2 linked regions of the Lonchura striata genome follow. The protein of the gene in region 1 purifies or fractionates together with the protein of each later gene. This does not show direct contact. Links are inferred from orthologs where the notes say so. Each region holds a gene or a part of one and is shown in the gene's direction. Other genes may lie near its edges.

Region 1 (10,054 bases):
CTCCAGGTCTTACACTGTTTGCATCTCTATCCTGGAATACCTTCAGTTGTTCTCACACCTCTCATCCTCCTTTTTGGTTTTGCCATCTGGTTAAATGACAGACAGGCTTGCAAAAAGTACTTATATATAAACCAGTGGAATGGAGAACCACCAGGTTCTCCTGGCGCCCCCTGCACAGGAGAGCTCATCAGCTCTCTCTAACTTAGCCAGCTGCTGGTTTCTACAAAACTCAGGAAATCAATATCCTTGAATCTTCTGCCACTGCCATAGTTAACTAAAATTTGCCTGAAGTGTTCAAAAGCTGGAATATTTTAATTGGTGAAAGGTGAGGGAGGTAAAGGGCTTCAATGTATGACCAGCTGGATGTGATACTGAGAAAGCAGGGAAGTCATGTTGGACATTTCTTAGCTGTCCTATCTTTGTCTGACCCAGATAAAAGGAAGAGCTCCCTAAATACTCTAAGAAAGAAGCCTCAGTCCTGGTAGTGTTTTTCAAAGCTGCCCTACATTCCATCCCCAGAAGTCAGAAATGCTCTGTGGCCCCAAGTACCACCATGACCCAGGTGAAGGCTCTAGCTGCTATAGCCTGCTAAAAGCATTTGCAAGGGACAAGTTGTTAAAAAGTGAGAAAAGTTCTGGAAAACAGCAGCTCTTCCTTACAAATGTGAGTTCAGATCTATGTGCTGCTCCCTCTGCACACTTTGCTTGTATAATTAAGTTTCCTAATTCCAATAGTGATGCCATCAGCCTTGTCTCCAGTAATGGTAAAAATGTTGCCCCCATCAATCTGTTTGTTTTCTCCTTGGGCACATTTGGCAGCCAAGGGAATAATCCTGAATGTTGATTATCAGGCTGTTTCTTTCCTAAGTGGGTCAATATCAATGCTGATAAAGAGCAAAAATTGATCTCCAATATACATTATATACACTTTTCACTTTACAAAGCAAACCAGTTTAAATTCCAATTTATTATAACTGTAATAAATCCCTAAGTTTTAAAAAAGCTCCTAAAGTAATGTACATAAAATGCCATGATTTTAGAGTGCTCATTCTTGTTGTTTTAAGTTCTAGTCACTGAGTGAGTGGCATCAGTACCTGGAGTCAGAATGTGGAGATGATTTAAAATAAAAATTAGGAGGGGGGAACATGAATTAGAAAAAGTAATTGATAATATCTGGAGCTGTTTGTTAATAGAGAATGGATTTTTTTTGTCTAGATCCAATAGAACTGATGGTCCTTATGTTCCTTGAGAGTGTTATGGCCAAACTGGTAAGTGAATAATTTAATTGTATTTCTTAAAAGTGTGAGGGGCTGACAAGTAGTGACATTAAACCTAATGTGGGGAATTACATGTATTCTGAGGATTAGAAAATTCTGGGGGTGTCAGTAAGACATAAAATTAATTGTATTGTCCTTTAAGCAAGACCAAAGGTGTTCTTTCTGAGATAAAGAGTAATCAGACCAAATTCCCATTAACAGTGGATCCCTGTGCAGCTTTAGTGAGGTAAGTTATTCATGTCATAGTCTCATTTACTGGAGAGTATTGTCATTGTTTTAGTTCCCTTCAAATGTTACATATTTTATTTATGAACAAATGTGTTCTTTTTCACTGTTTTAAAGCTAATGTGTGCCATCATTTTAATGGCATATATCAGCTTTGGTCCCTCTGAATGACAGCTTACAGAGACCAGAAATTACCTGGATGTAGGAATTTAAAGCTACAATTAATGGCAACTTTTCACTGGTGGCACTTGGTGTCTTTTAGAGCTCTCCTGAAACTGCTCTCTTTCATGCAGATGGATGGGCTCAGCATCTGGCTGGCTGAAGGAAGTTCTACAGGGTGTATTGTGACAGGTCTGAATCAGAGTACTGTATATTGACATGGTTAGTGGGACATTTACTGTAGAAATGGATATGTTTGATTCCAATCAAATAATTTCAGAATAATAAGTTATTGGAGCACTAAAGAATATAACAGGGTAGAAAAGTTATAATTAAGAAAATGTTATTTATAGCAGAGGACAAGGAAGGCACCACAGAAGATTCTGATAAACCCAGCCTGGCTCAGTTACCATCAAGAGATGGAAATCCCTTTGTTCTATTGTTTTCACACTTTCCCCCCTCTATATGCTGCATTTGTATTAATAAACTAAGCAGTTTTTTTCACAATATGCCACTGCTAATCTTGAAAAGAAGTACACCAGGCGTTCAAGTGAAGACAAACCTGTGAGGCAAATCTGCTCGATTCAGCACTGGCATAATCTGAAAACAAAGAATTCCAGTTTTATCCTTCCAGAGATAAAGATATTATGTCTGAAACCTGGGCGATTGTCCTTAAAGCTTAAAAGGAGGGACTGAAATCCAGCCACCCTCGCAATTTTAAATCCATCCTTTAAAATCGCTATCTGAGGCCAAATGTGGGTTTTTTCTGTTGGGTCCTGCTGTGAAGTGACAGTACTGCATTTGTCCTACCACCATTATTATCTTAGTTCATGATCTGCTGTGATATCATATTACTTCTGTGTAAGATACAGCAGAAGGTCAGAGTGGACTGACAAAATCCCACCAGTATGTAACCACTGGCAGCACTGCTGTGGAAATTCAGAAACATCCCCACTGGGGTTTCTCTCTTTCTTTCCTAACTTTGCTACAAGAAAACAGCTCATGAAAACTAAATTTTCACTAAGTTCTAAGTAAAATAAATTGCTGAATATCTCCAAAATACTCCTACTTGTTGACAATCTTCCTAGCAGAATTGTAAAATACTTTTCTAAAGAGCTAAAACCTGCTCTTTTGCAATAGTTTCAGTATTACAGATCTCTGGTTTTCTCTTGCTTGTTAATTTGACTCGCTCAGAGAATATGGAACTCCCTTCCTGTTTCCCCCCAAGACCTTTAGTCACTTCCTGTCTCTAAATAAAAACTCCTTTCATTTGTTCCTAATTGATGATAGAAAGTCTTCCAAGAATTCTGATAAAATCAGCCAAATTATATATAGATTTTTCCTTCTTGTAATGACCAAAAATCCCCATAGTTAAATATGTCACATCTCTAAATATGTGTCTATGCTCAGAATTTGATGAATTTTTAAAGGTACCTTGTTACATTAAGTTATATAGTAATGGAATTTAAAAAATCCATTTTCTTATTTAACCAAGAGGTGCAAAAAGTAGATTTGCTGGTGAAATTATAAAGACCTTATTTAATCAAAGTATTTTATTTGCTATGTCACCATTCTGCTGCTGCTGTAGCATCCCTTATATCACTGTAAGAGGGGCTGACTTGAAAAGATAAATGGATAATTTGTCAATGAATGTCCAAGATCTTAGGGGCAAAAAATGGCATCTAAAGACCTCACAGTTTGTCAAGGGCTTATTCACCTGCTGGAAACATCTATCTCAATCAGAATAACAATGTTGCCCTCAATGTGTTTACAAAAATACTTTGCGCATTTATTTTGGTAATTTCTGGTAGTGATATGGAATCTTGATGTCTTTGTACATTCTTGAAAAAAAAAATCTCATCTGGAATTTCCTGTGCCTGATCTGAGACTGTATTGGATGCAGGGAAAAGCTGCTTGGAGGAGCAGGGGAAAGGGTGACAGCACAGCTTCTCCAGTGTTAGCTTTGGAAAGCAAGGGCTGGGAAATGTGTATTCTTAGGAATTAAAATTCAGATAAAATAATTTAAAGGGAAAAGTGGTAGGAGGCTGTACCTTGGCCTTGAGCAAATTAGGACTGGAAGCTGGAAGGTCTCTTGTCATTTAGAAAATGGGGTATCTTAGAATGGCCTTCCCAATACTAATAGCAGCACAAATATTTAGGTTCAGACTGTTCATGCAAAGAATACAATTTGTTTTCCTGAGGCAAGAGAGGACTCAGTGCTGGGACCTCTTGGAGCCCCTATATTCACTTGTTGCCATCTCATTTTTCAGACAGTGACTGAAGCTGGTGATTGAACCCCAGTTTCCAGCCAGAAGCTCTTCCCTCTGCAGTGTGAGATGCAGCTGCCCCTCAGTCCCTCCGTGTGCTCAGGTGCACTGAGCTGATCCCACTCAGGAGCTTCTCCTGCTCCAGGCTGTCAGTCACTGCTTAATGGGACAGCTCACATTGTCCCTCTCGCATCCATGGCATCCTACATGGCAGAAAGGAAGTGCCAGGAGAGCTGCTTCTTTTTCTTATCTTCTCATGTCTCACTGAACTGGCAGCTGCTTGCTCTGAGTGTTTCCATGAACTTATCTCTTTATACGGGAGAATAAATCACCTGTGGGTTAAAAACCCATAATAATGTTGGAGTAATGTTAAATATAGAATTATAAGGCCTTTTGGTCTTATTGAGGCAGCTGTGTGGGTGGAAATTGCATCCAAATAGATGTTATTTACTTAAATTAAGTGTTACCCTAAGGGCTTTGGCCAATGTTCCATCTCTGAGCAGAAAGCTGGAGACCACACCAGAGTCTAACACGAGGCAGGTTTTCTTCTGCTCTCCCTTTCCTCTTTCCTTACTTCTTTCCATTCCTCTTTTTTTACCTCCCTTTCCTCTTTCCTTAAATTTCTTCTTCCCTTTCCTTCCCACTTTCCTTTCTCTTATTCTTTTTTCCTTTCATTTTTTTCCTCTTTCCTTCTTAATTTCTTTCCTTTTCCCTCTTTCTTTTCCCCCTTTCTTTTCCTCCCTTTTTTCCCCTTTCCTCTTTCCTTTCCTCCCTTTTTCCCCCTTTCCTCTTTCCTTTCCTCCCTTTTCCTCTTCCTTTCCCTTTCTCCTTTTTCCTTTCATTTTTCTCCTTTCATTTTTCTTTTCCTTTCCATTCTTTCTCGCAGAAGTCACACAATTTAAATTCATACTCTAAAGAGACGATGAGGTCTGTTCATAGGACTAGCATAGGTGGTTAAACAGGTTTATCTCTTCTGACAATGTCTCCTCTCTGGTGTTTTTTTTTTCAGACACGGGAAGGTTTTTGCATCATGTTTTGGTTAAAACTTCAATTCCCATCGCAGGAAGGCGCTGGCTGACTCCACTTCCCGCCCCAGGGGGATATGCCTGCGGTGATCGGCGCGATGCCCAAGGAACGAGATCGGGATCGGGACGGCGCCTCACCCTTCCCTGGCCCCGCAGTGCTGCGCCGCCCGGGATGCCGAGGGATCCTTCGGTCACATCCAGGGTGAGAGAAGCCGGGCTAGGGCGGATCGGTGTCCTGCGCCATCCGTACCCGGGAGCCCAGCCATCCCCATCTCTTTCTGGAAATCGCTGAGGGTTTATGGCCGCTGTTTAAAACAACAAAAAAAAGAGAGAATGGCACTAGTCCTGGCAGAGAAGAGCGACGAATCAGGCCACGCGCTCCCAGGCTCTGTCACGGGGGGCTGGAGGGGCCCCGGGCCGTGCCCCGTCTCCTTTGCCGCCCCACCCGCGTTCTCCGCGCTGAACTTTACCCGACTTGTCAGCCCCGCTCCGCCAGCCCGCGGGCCCGCCCATCTGATGCATATTCATAAGAACCACGCCCGAGCCTGCTCCTCATTGGCTGCTTCTTGCTCTCTCCCTCTCCCATTGGCTGGCACCGCCGCCGCTCCGGGCGCGGGGAGGGGCGGCCGCGCCCGCGCCTCCCGGGCGGTGACTCACAGGGCGTGGAGTGCGGGTCCCGCAGCGGCGGCGGCAGCGCAGTCTGCGCCTCCCCCCGCTCCCGCACTACTCATTGTTCCGCCCGCTCCAGGCACCATGGACGAGCTGGACCAGTCGCCCCTGGTCTCCTCCTCCTCCGGGCCAGCCCGGCCGCAGCAGCCACAGTTTAACTACCAGTTCGTGCTCGACGACGAGAAGGAGGAGGAAGAGGAGGAAGAGGAAGACGAGGACGAAGACTTCGACGAGCAGCTGGAGGTGATGGAGAGGAAGCCTGCCGCGGCTCCCGCCGCAGCCCCGCAGGAGCGGCCGCCACAGCTGCTGGACCTCGGTGGCCCCGCCGAGCCGCCCCGCCCTACTGCTCCGGAGCCGCCGCAGCCCGACTGGAGCCCCCGGGGAGCTGTGTCCTCTTCCTCCTCCTCTGCCACGACGCCGTCCCCCGCGCAGGAGCAGATCCCGGCCCCCGCCCGGCCCGCGCAACCCCAGCCGCCCAAGCCCGAGCCTGCTGTTGCCCCCCGGAGCAGAGGGTCCTCCTCCAGCTCAGCTGGTGAGTGCTCCCGCCCCGGGCCCGGGGAGGGCGGCGGCCGGCCGGGGAAGCCTCCACCCGAGCCGCTCCGGTTCTCGAGCCCCGCTGCCCCGCCGGGAGGTTCCCTTTGTCTGCCGGCCCTCGGCCGCCTCCTGCGGCATCGCTCCCTCCCCTCAGCCGCGCTCGGGCGCGGCCCTGCCGCAGCCCATGCTGGAGAAAGGGCTCCCCCTCCCCGTTCTTTCTTTTTTTTTTTTTTTTCTTTTTTTTTTTTTTATTGTAATTTCTTCTCTTTCCCTCCTCCTCCCCTCTGTGTTATGCTAATGGCGGGAGGGCGAAGCGCCGCCCCGCCGCCGCCTCGCACATGGGCCACCCGGGGGCGAGGCCGCCGCCGCCTGGCAACGGCCGCGTCGCGGGTGGGCGGGGGGCGAGCCCGGCGTACCGGCCGAGTCCAGGGAGGCCGGCCGTGTCCGGGATGCCGGCTGAGCCCCGCGGGGACGGCCGTGCCCAGGGGACCGGCCGAGTCCCGAGGCACCGGCCGCGGCGTCCTCGCTGCTCCAGCCGGTTCTCTCCCGGCGCAGAACCCTCCTCTCGCCGCATTGTCCCAAGCGCGGTTCCTTCCAGGGCGGCCCGGCACTGCGGGTTCGGGCGTGGGAGCGCCGGAGAGGAGAGAAACATAAGATACTTGTAGTCTTATTCATGTTTAACGCAGCGCCTGGAGGGAGGGGCGAGGCGACGGACTGCGGAGCCTCCGGCCCTCCACCTGGCCAGCACAGCCCTGCGGCCCGCAGCCTGCGTGGGGACGCCGCGCCTCGGCCGTGGACTGCGGGGCTGAGCCCCAAGGAGGGAACCGGTGACCTAGGGAGGAATGTGTAGCAGCACAAAGGGAGACCGGGCTGCTCTAGGTGTGGCAGTCCTGGAGAAGAATGGCAGCCTCGCGTCCTGGATGGCCGCGGCTTAGCCATGGCTGTTACTTGGGGCTTCTCCAAGGCGTCTCCCCGTAGTGTGGGGATTCTCCGAAGCACAGGCCTGTGGAGTGGAGGGCGTGTCACCCCCCAACAATTGCTGGTGCTGCCCAACTGCCAGAGCCCTTCTTAGGTCTTATCCGAGAGCTGACCCGCATGACTAATGCCATGCATGCGGATCTCGAGTGTGCTTTGGCTCCACTTCTCCTTAAGTCAAAGAAGTGACTTGGGGCCACTAAAACAGTGAAAAGGAACAAATTCAAGTGCCCTGAGATCATCATGGTATGTGCTTATCTTCATTGCTGTTGTGGTGTTGGTATGTTGTAAAGATGCAGGATTTCAATAATAACTAAACACCACAGTATGAGGGGGCATGATACTCAGGATCTAGTGAAAAAAAGCATCTGGAACAATAATTTTTAAAAAGGCCTGTTAAAACCTGAATTTAGTTTTTTTCAGGGAAGTTTCATAATGCATTTTATTTGCATGCGTGATGGGACTTTATGGTTACTTGTGCTGTTGTCTTTCATGAAGCCTACTTAGTTTTGTTCTTCTGGAAGCTTTCTATGTAGCAGTATGCCAAGGATATTAATTTTTTTTTTGTTTCCACCATTTGAAGGACAGATGATGACAAAAGCTTGCAACAGACTGAAGAGGAGGGATTCTATATGGTGGATGAACAGAATTTTTTCTAGTCATGTTCTCTGAGTAGAGCTCTGTATGGTTTAAAGAGAGCTGAATGGAAGAAATAGGATCTACCAAATCATGTTGCTTTGAAAAGGAGGGATGAAAGTGCGTTTTCTGGAAGTGATTTTTTTTTTTTCTCTCTGACCCCTGAAGGATAAGGCAAAAAGAGCACAGTAATTCCTGAAATAGTTCCGTGTTAGAGACCTAACTGTGAGAATTGTGTAGTATAGCTGAGAAGTAGCATCAAGGAGTTATTTTAATTTGTCAGTGATGATTAATTTAGGGCTCTGAAGTAAGGACTGGCATCTGGGGGAGGCCTGATTTCCAAAGACAAGGTGTTGTAACACAATGCTCATCTAATGATGAGTTGAAATATTAGGACTCTGTACTTGAAACTCCTGGATGAGAGCAAATTACGTTGCTAAAAGCACTGCCAGGTTATCTCATGAGTATTTTGGCCTTCTCAAATCTCATAGTGTTAAATATCCATTTAAACACCAAATGTTTGTTAGTTTTGCATTTAGCAGTGGGTGTTAAAACTGTCTGGGTGAAGATATTTGGCTTGGCTTCAAATGAGTTCACTCTCAGTCATGCTGGGAGACTTGCAAAATGAATTTTCTGCCTGCAGCTGGTGGCAGGGTGACCATGGCAGGGACAGCCACGTGCCCTGTGGTTTGCTCTCTGCAGAGTTGTCATTTCACTTACTTTGAACTCTGCTGTTTGAATTAAAGGTATAACTGAAGAGTTACAATTCACAATCTAGAAATTTTGAAAAAAAATCTCCTAATATTTGAAATCTAATGCTTTCATTTATGAGGATTTGAGGCAGATAACTCTGAATTCTGTTTCCAGGAGGAAGAGAGTATGGCCTGTAGCAGGAAATAGTAGGGCTTCTTTTGTCTGCAACAATTGGCCATGGTGCTGCCTTTTGGCAGTGGAACAGTAGCAAAAATGTATTGCCTATTGATGGCTCATTGAAATGGATTTTATGTATATATGGAGCTGTTTTTAAAAAAGAAAACCTTTGTAATTGCTTTTAGTTACACACTTAAGAGTATTTAGTATCATTGTGACATAATTATATATAATGCAAGTCTCTGAAAGGGTAGCAGCAGCCTACCTTCTGAAGAGCTAATAAAAATATTTGCAGGAGAAAACAAATAGATGGACAAACTTGGGTTCTCCTGAACAAATTTTGGGGGTTTTGCACTTGCTTTTTTGTGAGTAGGAGAAACTACAGTTCTGGAGAGATTACTGCTTAAATCTTTTGTTTACCTGAATTTACAGAGGGTGGAATAAAAAAGTCAGTTTGAGGTAGGTATACATGGTCAAAGTAATTTGTAGCCCTTTTTTTTTTGCCAGCTGCCCAAAGTAAGAATAACCAGTGTACTATGATGAGTAGATCCCACTTTACTTCTCCAAGCCCTAGATTCTGCAGCAAAAGGAGGGTCATATATCATTTTTCTGGAAGAGACTAGTGTGTTTTGACATTAAACTGCACTTAACCAGAAGCCTGTACACGAGATCCACCAGACTGGCCCTAGGCCAGCATGCAGAGAGAATAAAGATGTTTCCTTGTATGTCTGTTGCCTTCAGCTGACCTGGGTTAAATACATATGCAAACGTTGTGGAGGGCCAGTTTATTAATTAGTCTTGCTGTTCTATGTGATTATATAGGATTTTTTCTTTAATTTCATCCATGCTGAGGAGAGGTCTCAGGAAGGTTTGCCAGACAGTGTCAAGCAGAGGTCAGCAGAGCTGCCTGGAGCTGTCCCTGGCCAGGCTGAGCCCAGCCGCAGGAGGTCCTGAATAAATGCAGATCTATACTTGCTTCTGCTCACCCCAGCAAGTGAACCTTTTACCCTGCTCATCCTGCGTTTGCAGTTGATATAAATTCTAAACCAGCGTATTTGCTCCTCAGATTTTTTCTGTTGTGCTGCTGTGTCTGCAGGGACTCCTTCAGAGGAGTTGTGTGCATTTTAAGGACAGGATGCAGCATGACTTGGAAAAAAACAGAGCTGTGTTTGAATGCTATCACTGGTGACTTTCATTTGCACCCTTCATTTATTAAAATATTGTGAAAAACACCAATCACTTGGTTTTTTAAAATTTTGAAAGTTTAATAATAATAAAATGGTTACAAAAATAGTAATACAATTAGGGTAATAGAGTTAGGACGATTACAAGACAATAAAAAGCCAAGAATTACGGACATCCGGATGATGCTCTCTAGGTCATGAAAAGCATACCTTGTGAACAAAGGAATCACCTTA
Region 2 (10,734 bases), on another chromosome or scaffold:
CTGCTAGGTGCTACCACAATATCATCATGGACTTTTCCTCTCCTTTTTTGTTGTACCTTTAGTTTCCAAACAGAGAGAGCACCTGTTTATGCTGCAACTGAGGAAAAAAAAAAAAAAAAAAAAATACCCTTGCCAAAGCGAAAAACTTGTCTAGCAACTTATACAGTCATCTTGTAAAAACTCTTTCTGGATAGTATCTCTTTAAAAAGGGCCATAAACTTAGCTTACACATACCAGGTGAGACAACTTCAATGAGAAGATGCCAAACAACTTCATGGAAATCCATGACACACCAGCATGTAGGTAAGATTGTCCTGGAAAATGGTATTGTGTATTTTCTCCCTGGTTTGCAACACAATGACATGGGTGACTCAAAACAGATTTTTATCATCAATTCTCAGTCCCTTCCCTATGGTGAAAGCTCTGAGTTGTTAGATTTATGCCTTCACATAGAATTAATTATTTCTGTGTGAGAAGTCTGGCCAATTGGATTTTGTCCATTTGGAGCCTTGCTTGGATGTGCTTACGTGAGCAAAGCACCACCCCAGTAACAACACTCAGTCTGCACTGTAAGAGCTGAGAAAACCTGGGAGAGGTTCTTTGCAATAGCAACTGATGCACTAGCAGTGTGTTTAGAGTCAAAGAATCTCAGTTTTATTCTTCATTCCACCCAAAACAATGCTCCAAGCAGAAGACTTTATTACTATAAATCAGAAATTATTCAAGACATGAAAAGAATTAAAGGTCAGTGACAAATAATGTGAGCAAGTCAAGAGTGTTAGAGCAAGAAGAACAGGTATTGTGAATGGGTCACATGAAGCCCTGCAAATAAGGTCTGATTGAACACCTTCTCCAAAGTAAATTTACTTTCAAAGATCCTTTCAATGGCATGCAATTTTATAAAGCCTTTAACATTTACATAGAGAAGAAAAGAATTTGGAACACCTGATGAGCAGCCATTTACAAGAAGTTTCCAATCATTTAAAAAACTTGGTTCAAATGTTGTGAAATACATGTTACAGCTTTTATGGCTAACAGAAGATAGAAACAATTCTCTAGATTTTCATCTTATGCTAGTGTCTATGTCTTCTGTTTAAGTCCAGTGATTTGTTTTTTCCATTTAAAGCTGGTATTTGAAATACCAAAAGATACATAAGGCAGGTTTTGTATGTGGAAAGGAAAAGGCAACGTCAAGGGGCAAACATGAGAGTGAAACAATCTGTCAAGGTCCTGGGCAGGCAGCTGATGTTTGAAGAACTGATTCTGAGTTACCAACTATATTTAAGCACAATCTCATTTTGGCATCACCTTTATTTTAAGCTAGAGATTCAGTAGCCTCACCGATTTACAGTGAGTCACTAAAACAGAACAGAAAGAGGAAGAAGGTTCTTGCTGTGCTGCATGTCATGTAATGTTCACCCTTTTTACAGAAAAATATATCTCATCCCCCCTACCCTGCCTGTTAGAGGAGAATTAGTATGATTATCTCTTACCCACTTGCCATGCCAGGAAGAAGTTTTTCTCTTGGGAAATACTCTGAGCAGGGAGAAGGCAGAAGCCAGAAGCTCAGCAATCCTCCCGTAGTCCAAGGCACGAGCTGTGCTCCCCTTATGCTCCTCCTGCCCACTGAGGACTGTCACTCAGCCTGGCAGGAAGGCACAGGAGAGGCAGGAGGTGCCAATTCCCACAAGAGTCTGAGGACAGCGCCACAACTCACAGCGCTCTCAGTGCAGGAACACTCACACCAGGAAGTCAGAGGCACCTGTAGCAGGCTCCTGCCTCACTTTGTCTTGCATCATGGATTATTTGCCAAATGGATTTTTATGTCTCTGGATGAAGTTTTAGCCCAGAAACAAGCACTGCAAGTCTGAAAGCTTTGAAGTGGACAGGACATTCTAGTCCTGTTTATTCTGTATCGAGTTTTTATTTGACAGTAGAAGGGAAGACGATAATTAATCTGAGATCAAAAAAAAAAAAAAATCAAAGGTGGTGAAGGGAAAAAACCCAACAAATGCATCTCTATTTAGAGCTGAAACTGCTACGTGTGATCCTGTGAATATTAGAAGGTGTTATAAACGAGAAATGTTCTAGAAAGGGAGAACTTTCCATGTGCCACTGGAAACAAGTGGTGGCAGGTGCTGGTGCCTATCCTGGGAATCTTGCATTCATTTTGTGGCTAAATCAACCCTCAGATGGTTTAAAGCTTATTGTTGTTTGGTTGGTACTTGTGATATCTTCTTCTTCATCATAATTAATTTCTGAAAAGCACAGCTTTAGGTCTAAACTAGATATATGTATGTAGAGAAGCCAGAATGGCTTGATGCTAGATACCAGTCTTACAAGTGCTTTTGCACCTCTGGTCCATGAACCCCTTCAAAGAACCAATTTAGGGCTAAATAAAGCCCCTGGTGATGAAGACACACAAAATTGCACAGGGAACAAGATATGCAGCCCACTTAAAACACTTAAAAGTGAAGCTTCCTTCTGACACTAGTAGGAGAAATTAAACCATCTCAAAACTGAATATCCTTAATTTTAACAGAAATCTTCTTTACCATCTGGTTAGTATTTATTGCACTTCAGGGTAAACAAGGTAAATAATGAAAATCCAGTGCCTTGGATTTGTCAACTGTCCCAGTTTATCAACTGAATGCAGGAACTCTTATGCTTTCATTTAAAATACAAAAGCTAGTGGGCATATTCTGTCTATTAAAAAATTGCAACTTCTTTACTCACACTAGCAGAAAGAGCCCAGATGGGAGCCTAGGGAATTTTCACTTACAAGCAGCATCATCACTGAAGTCAATGAATTTAAGTTCATCTTTAATAAGATTACAGCTCAGTAGCATCACCAGCAATTTCACAACCAACCGTGTACTTGTATGTCTTTTACAATTTCTGTCTTTTGATTTGGACACTGTTATAAGAAAAACGCAGAGATCCTGAGGAGAGTGAAAGAGTGTGTTTGCTGACAGAAACTAAACACTAATCGAAGGCAAATTAGATCAGTACAGACTCTGGGTCATTCACAGGTCTAACACAGAAAAAGAGAATGTGCCAAGAGCAGCCTTGGTATCCATGGGTGCTATTACAAATATTGGCTTCCTCTGCAGCAGAGCCCAGCCAGAGCTTTGTCAAACCCATTGCACAGAGCAGCGGACGTGGTTTTTGTGCAAGAGCTGGGGCCAGGCTGCCTCTGTGCTCTGTTCCTCTTTTTCTGTCCCAAGGGAATGGGAGGAGTGTTTGGTGCTCACTCACACGTACCCAGCATTTCCAAAGGAGTAGGGCAAAAAACTTCTAGAAGTTCTGCCTGACAAAACCAGCACCTCAAGCATCAGATGCTGACCTTTGCCAACGTAAAGGACCAAGGAGATCCTGGGAATTAAACATGTTTCTAAAGCATGTAGGCATCTCTGTGCATTTTTGGCCTAAATATTTTGCTTTTCCAGTCAAGGTGGCCAACGAGTAAGTGTTGGTTTGTCACTTCTAGTCTGGTGCTTACACTTCCTTGAGGGGAGAAAGAGTTATTTAAACCTCTTTGGTCAATCTAGAGAGGCGTGAGTGAGAACACTGAGTTTTACAGGCTTCCAGACCAAAGCGGGCAGGGCTCACACCAGCACAAAGAGCAGGTTTGGGCTGGACAGGCTCATTCAGGGAGACTGAGTGAAAGCTGCCAGCTGGAACAAACACCCTGCAGATCTACAGCACACTCAGTCCTTTCCCAGGAAAAGGCAGAGCAGGTCTTTGGGTTACATTCTGCACAGAAAGAGGAAAGTTTATGAGACACTGAGGATGCTGGACATTCCCATGGGAGTTTTGACTATTGCTGCCAAGTCTCCACAAGCTGACACACACTGAAAAGCAGTGGAGACACATCCTGGGCTGGTCACTTGAAAGCCAGCCAGGTCAGAGCATAGTGAAAGCAGAACATGGGTACACCGAGGTCTCCACCCTTCCTTAAATATTAATATTCAAGTTGGAGCCTCTCCTGCCAGATTTTTTGGCACCAAACTCCAGGATCCCTGTGCCTGTCTCAGTTATCTCCCTTTGCCTTAGCCTCCCAGACTCCCCCTGGAGTCCTTCTCTGTAGCCAGTGGTATTTACAATCCCTGCACTTACTGGGGAGCTTCAGATGCAGCAGCTTTCATCCTGAAAGAGAAAACCATGAGGATTACAGAGCCAGGCATGCTCTTGTCATAGGAAAAAAGAGGCATAAATAACTCCATCCCTGCAGCTAAATGTGCATACCTGGACTGAGGCACAACCTTCTTAGCATTAGGTTAGTCTGTTAGTATTCTTTCACTTCCTAGTGCTAATTCCCAGGTTTAATAAGTAAATCATGATGGACTTATGATATGTTCTCGCAGCCAGATGAGCCAGGTTCCCACTCAGCAAATCATGAGGATGAAAGGAAATATTTGCTTGGGCTCACCGGGGCTCAGCACCTCTGTGTGGGCCTAAGGGATAAGGGAAGACTTTTTTTTATTATTTTATTTTTAGGACTGCCAGGCATATTTTGTGAGAAACTGTCGAGGAATCATTGAAGGCATATTGCGAAGACATAATATGTGAAGACAAAGTAATTAAAGAGATTTGAAGTGTTTCATGTTTTGCACAGACACAAAGACACATGTGGTTATTAGTCACTGATTTTCACACATTGGTGTAAGCAAAATTTAAGGGAGCCTGGCTGAAACTATATCTTATTGCACAGCTCAGTTCTGGTGCTTTTTGGATAAACATTGCTGCTAATTAATTCTTAAGGCCGTGAGAACTGGGATTGCTCAGCGTGGAGAAGAGAAGGCTTTGGGGTGACCTCACTGTGGCCTTGCAGTGCCTGAAGGGGACCCACAGGAAAAATGGAGACTTGGCGAGGGCCTGGAGTGAGTGTTACGTGTAGTAGATCTAATTTGTGCCATTTTTAGTATGATATATGTGATATTGACTATTTGTTGGAGTATACACATTTGTATTAGGAGTCCCCCCAACCCTCACAGGCAAAACCTGGTGTATGTTGAAATCTGATTTACAAGTAAAAGGATGTGACTTGGCCAGGCCAGGAGATGGGCCATGTCTGGAGGGATACAGGATTCCCAGAGATGAGTATCATGGAAATCCTTGGGCAGATACATGTGAATGCAGGGTTCCCGTAAACTTCATCAAGGGATCCAACAACTCCAGACACTGAATTGTTCTTCTTCATCACCAAAAAAGAAAATCTTATTAACCTATGGACTCTGAATGGAAGAAAAGACTGATTGCAAAAATCTTGGCCTCGGGGAATTTTCCCTATGAAAACTGCTTGTACCGGGATGGAGGCGTGTGGGCACAGAGGAAAACCTCTGCTGAGGCTGACTCCTTGTTGCACACCCAGGGCCAGCCCCGGGCTCGGCTCTGTTCTTTCCTTGTGGCTGGATAGATAGAATTGGATTGCAAAATAAATATTTTATTTTTTCATTTTAATGTGGCTGGACAAATTTTCGTTTATAACAACAGGACAAGGGGGAAATGATTTCACACTGACAAAGAGCAGGGCTAGATTGGGTATAAGGAAAAATTGTTCTCTGGTGCTGAGGCCCTGGCACAGGGTGTCCAGAGCAGCTGTGGCTGCCCCTGGATCCCCGGCAGTGCCCAAGGCCAGGCTGGATGTGGCTCAGAGCCAGCTAGGCAAGGGGAAGGTGTCCGTGCCCGTGGCGGGGGTGGCACTGGGTGGTGTGGCAAATGCTTAAAGCCGGCAGCAGGCCGCGCCATTCCCGCAGCGGACAAAGCGCAGAAGGGCGCTCGGGGCGCTGCCCTCACACAGCGCGGCCGTGACGTCACGGGGCGGGGCGGGCAGGCGCAGTTCGCCGCGCGTGACGTCACGGGGGCGGGGCTGTGCGTGACGTAGAGGGGCGGGCCCGGCGCGGTTCTTCGCGGCGTGGGACGGCCCCGGGCGCGGCGGGGCGCGGCCCGCGGTGTGCCGGGGCAGCCATGGGGGCGCAGCTCAGCGTGGTGAGTGCCGGGGGGCGGCCGGGAGCGGGGTCCCTTCCTGCGCAGCCCCGGCTCCGCCCGCAGCGCTCCGGGGCGGGGCGGTGTCCCGGTGTCCCCGCTGCCCGGGGCCGCGCGGTGCTGCGGAGGCTCCGGGGCCGTCCCGCGGTGCGCGGTGGTGGTGCCTGTGCTGGCTGCCCTGCCGCGGCGTTCTGCCCTCCCAGCTCCGCGGGTGTCTGTTCTTGTTGTTGTTAGTGTTTGGGGCTCTGAAGGCTTGTGGTGTTTTCCGCCGCCGGAATAATTTCAGGCTGTAGGAGCGGAGGTTTGGAGTGGCTCTGAGGAAGAATTTGTTCCCTGTGAGGGTGGTGAGGCCCTGGCACGCATTACGCGGAGTTGTGGCTGCCCCATCCCCGGCAGTGTCCAAGGCCAGGCTGGATGGGGCTCAGAGCAGCTGGAATAGTGTCCCTATTAGCAGGTGTCCGTGCCCACGGTGTTGGAACGAGAAGATCTTTAAGGTCGCTTCCAACACAAACCATCCCACGATTCTGCCTGTGACCGTGCTGGCTGGGCCGTGGGACTGCAGCTGTCACCTCTGCCAGGCATCCTTACCCTCTTTTCTCAGCTGCCTGTCACGGTTCTCTGCTCCTCTGCTCAAACACTTTTCTTCGGGTTTCTGAGGAGGCAGGATGGAGCTGGATTCAACATACTCTCCTTTGGGAACAGCTGCTCCTAAGTGCTTTGAACAGGGGAGATGCGGCTAAAGCTGCCGAGGTGAAGAAATCCCGTTATCCTCTGGCTGGTTTCTGAAACACATGCGAATAATCTGTGAGCTGCGATTACTTCAAAAGCAGGGTGTTTGAAGCTGAGGGTACAATGCTTCTCATGCCGAAGCAGGGTTCGGTTTGTGTGTTTGCAGGGCAGGGCAGTGCTGGGGTGTCGAGCTCTGAGCCTGTGTGTTGGACAGTGTTGTGCTCACCACGCCCTGGCAGTGCAGTCTCCCTGGCTTTTCTGCCTGTTATCACACAGAGGCCTCTTTCCATTAATAAAAATTCCTGCTCAGTTACTAATTCTGCCTTGTCTGTTTGTAAAGATTTGTGAAGCTGGAAATGATGAGTCACAGGGTCCCCATTTGGTGATTCCCAGGCCTTGTGGTCAGCCTGTTGCTCTCTGCTGCTGGAGATCTGATGCTGTGCAGTTATCTTCATTTATATCTTGGTTTGGCCTGTGGTGAGAGTATATAGGCTACTTTTAACCCAGAGAATGCTTTTCCTAGCAAGCATGACTTTTTGTAATCATTCAGCCTTCAATTCTTCCCCATTTTTCTGCCCACCTGGTAATAGATATGAGTAAGGGACTAAAATAGTTTTCTGAACTGGGGGTGTGCTGTGTTTTTCCAGACCAAATCCCATGAGACTTACTAATTGACCATGAGTAACAAATGTCTTTCCACAAGGTTAACACCATGTTAAAATTATTGCCTAACAGCAGCAGCTCTATTTTTTTGTTCACTTGAGATAGCCACATTTGGAAATGAAACTGTTTTAACTTATTAGTGTCTTGTTTGAAACACCTGCTGCAGAGTCAGGTTGCTATTGCCTCCAGACCTCACTCACTTGTTAATTTCTCATTAAGGAGTTTACTTGCTGCTCTGTCACCTTGAACAACCTCCCTCCCTCTGCCCCTTTTTGTGACTCAATACCAAAATTTCTTCCCAGAGCTGCAGTAATTTGGTGGATCTATGAGAGTTAAGGAATAAGTTTCCTGTAAACTTTAGCTTCTTCAGAAACAACATGTATGGAGCTATTTCAGTATTCCCAAATAGACGTTAAAAAGTGTGTGTAAGGCATGGTGTGCCCTCAGGCTATACATAGTGATGATACATTTTAAACCTTTACAGCAGCACTTTAAGAGAGAATTTGTGCTGTCCCACAGTTTTATCATTAATAGCGTGGGAAGTTTTTATAGCCTCTTGAGGGACTGTTATAGTTGCACAAATGCCATTCTAAAATACTGTTCACGTCCTTTTAAAATAAAAGGAAGGTAAAGGCTAAGCAGGTAAAATGTTGAGCTCATTTTTTATTTTTGCTATGGTAATGCTTTTCCTCTCTCCTCTGTTCAAGTGTTGATTAATAAATTACTGAGTTAGAGAAGATTTTTATAAGTAGTTGTGCAGTTTATTCTCCTGCCCCAGTGTGGAGAGGGTGGTGTGGTGTCGGAGCATAATCTGTTCCTGTCTTACTTCAGAGGTGGGGAAAATGATGGTAAAGGCACAAGAAGGGCTGTCCCTGGCTGTGTCCTGCAACTTAGCTGCTTTCCCAGGGAAGGGGTGCTGCTCTGCATGCAGGGCTCTGTGTGGTGGTGGAAGTGCCAGTGCCTGCACCCAAACTCTGAGCTGGAGGGTGTGGGCATGCTGCCAGCACCAGCATGGCATGGCTGGCAAAGCCCTGCTCAGCTGCCAGGGGGAGAACAGGGTCTGTGCTCAAGTATGAGACCCCAAATTACAGGGTGTCTGCAGCACGTGGGGTGGCCTGTGAAGGGGTGTGGGCAACAGTGGCCCTTGTGTCCAGATGGCAGCAGCTGGGGAGCCTGGAGAGGGGGCACACTCTGCCAGGGCAAAGCCAGCTGCCAGGGGATCCACCTCATACAGGTATGTGTGTATGGAATTGCCACTCATGGACCTTCATCCCGATCATGGGGAGGGGAGCAGGGTGAGCCCCTGTTTGTGTGTGTCTGGCTGTGTTGATCAGTGTGGTCTGCCACAGGCTGGGTACGAGGAAAAGGTTCTCCCCACAAAGGATGGTTGGGCACTGGAACTCCCCAGGGACTCATCACAGCCCCAAGGCTGACAGAGTGCAAGGAACATTTGTACAGTGTTCTCAGGGATTGTAGGGGTGTCCTGTGTGGGGTTGGACTGGATGATCCTGATGGGCCCCTCTCAACTCAGGATATTCTGTGATACGTGTGTCTGTCTGCCTGCTGGAGATGGGGATTCAGCCTCCCTGTCAGGGCACCTGGGGATATGGAGCTGTGACAGCCTCACTTTGTATCCAGCTGCCAGCATGGCAACCCTGTGCTGGTGTGCAGTTGCCTCAAAACAGGAGTGATGCCAGGTCTTCATAAAGCAAATCTTTGGCTTTGGGATTTTTTTCTTTTTATAATGCTTCATTTTCCTTCTCAAATAAACACATTCTTTCTGGTGGTTAGAGTGCAATGGCATAGGCCCCTATTCCTTGTCACACTCTCTCATTCTGCACGTGTCTAACGCTGTTTCTGTGCTGCTGCAGTTGCGTCAGGTTGTGACATACCCAATATGGTTCATCTACACCACCTTCATGAGGCTCTTCAGGAATCCCCAGCCTGCAATTACCCTCAAGGACCCAGAAGTGAAGTATGCACTGAGGCTGATTGATAAGGAGGTAAGTGCACGTGCAGTGCTGAGCACGACCTCTCAGTGGGCGCTGTGAAATGCTTACAGCTTCCCAAGTCTTGGGTGATGTCCCAACAGGGTGGATACTTTTGTCTTGAGGAAAGGACTTCTTTATAAAAGCTCTTTGTGTGGTGTAACTTGCAGTTGTGCAAGCAGCTTGTTTCCAAACAGTTTAGAGTGGAGAATGCTGCTTGGAAATGATCAAAGGCACAGTCACGTGTGCCTCGTATTGTGGAGCGCATCAGCAGAAATTCTCAAACTCTGCACCTCTGACTGGGCTAAGGGACACAAGTCAGGCAGAGCAAGCAGCTTTTTCATGGTCAGTGGCATTCAACAGCAGCTGCCAGAACTATGTTGATGCTGGTTCCTATCACTGGATTGAAGTACTGTAATGTTTTACAGGAAGAAAGGTGTTTAAGTCATGCAGTCCTGACAGCACCCGAACTGTCTCAGCTTCTCTATTCTCTGTTAAAAGTGAAGCCTCCTGGTACAAACTTAAATGCTTGATCAAGTGGGATACCAGAGGAAGGTCATGATGCTTTCAAGGGCAGATCTTGCCATCAGAAATTGGTAACTAAGCTTGTGGGAAGTGAGCCAAAGCCACCAAAGTTGAAAAGTCTAGGTTTCCATTGGATAAACCCACCATCAAAAGTATGAGAGAGAAATCTTGGCTTCTCAGGTGTAAAGCACACCCGAGGATATTTTTAGTGTTGATTTTTTAAAGCTATGAGCTATTCAGAAATTTATCAGAAGATTTTGGACACGAACAGAAATTTATTTGAGGTTTAGAGGGTGCACTGATAGCTTAGCTTTCACTGGTTCTGTTAAAGGAAACAAAAAAAAAATACTGTCATTTTGAATCCTGGGTTTGTGGGAACTGAGAGCTTCCCTGTGGCTTGGGCTGGGCTGCATTGCTGAGTTTATTTCCCAGGTGTACTGCAACCACACTGTTATTACAGACTCCCTACTTCTCATGAGGTCAGGAAAGGCTGAGGGAATTGGGATTGTTCAGCCTGGAGAGGAGAAGGCTTTGGGGTGACCTCACTGTGGCCTTGCAGTGCCTGAAGGGAACCCACAGGGAAGATGGAGAGACTCTTGATAGGGGCCTGGAGTGACAGAACAAGGGGGGATGGGTTCCTAGTGACAGAGAGCAAGTTTAGATTATATATAAGGAAGAAATTGTTCCCTGTGAGGGTGCTGAAGCTCTAGCACAGGTTGCCCAGAGAAGCTGTGGCTGCCACATCCCTGGCAGTGTCCAAGGCCAGGCTGGATGGGGCTCTGAGCAAGCTGGGATAGTGGAAGGTGTCCCTGCTGATGGCAGGGAAATGGAACTGGCTGAT

The links. Proteins that work in one complex are often made in the same cells at the same time.
Region 2: the proteins of RTN4 (region 1) and CYB5R3 purify together in Homo sapiens (affinity purification with mass spectrometry; 3 studies listed by BioGRID and IntAct, counting the BioPlex papers as one, with this or other methods). This does not show direct contact. The link is inferred for Lonchura striata from reciprocal best matches to the Homo sapiens genes RTN4 and CYB5R3.

The regions. Positions count from the first base shown.
Region 1 is NC_134605.1:27,221,498-27,231,551, forward strand, and holds the start of RTN4 (reticulon-4), read left to right. Parts: upstream 1-5,610; 5' UTR 5,611-5,705; coding exon 5,706-6,153; intron 6,154-10,054. UniProt on the Homo sapiens protein: Required to induce the formation and stabilization of endoplasmic reticulum (ER) tubules. They regulate membrane morphogenesis in the ER by promoting tubular ER production.
Region 2 is NC_134607.1:1,831,493-1,842,226, reverse strand, and holds the start of CYB5R3 (NADH-cytochrome b5 reductase 3), read left to right. Parts: upstream 1-5,955; 5' UTR 5,956-5,970; coding exon 5,971-5,991; intron 5,992-9,251; coding exon 9,252-9,383; intron 9,384-10,734. Other genes in the region: poly(U)-specific endoribonuclease, read right to left, coding at 1,744-1,796. UniProt on the Homo sapiens protein: Catalyzes the reduction of two molecules of cytochrome b5 using NADH as the electron donor.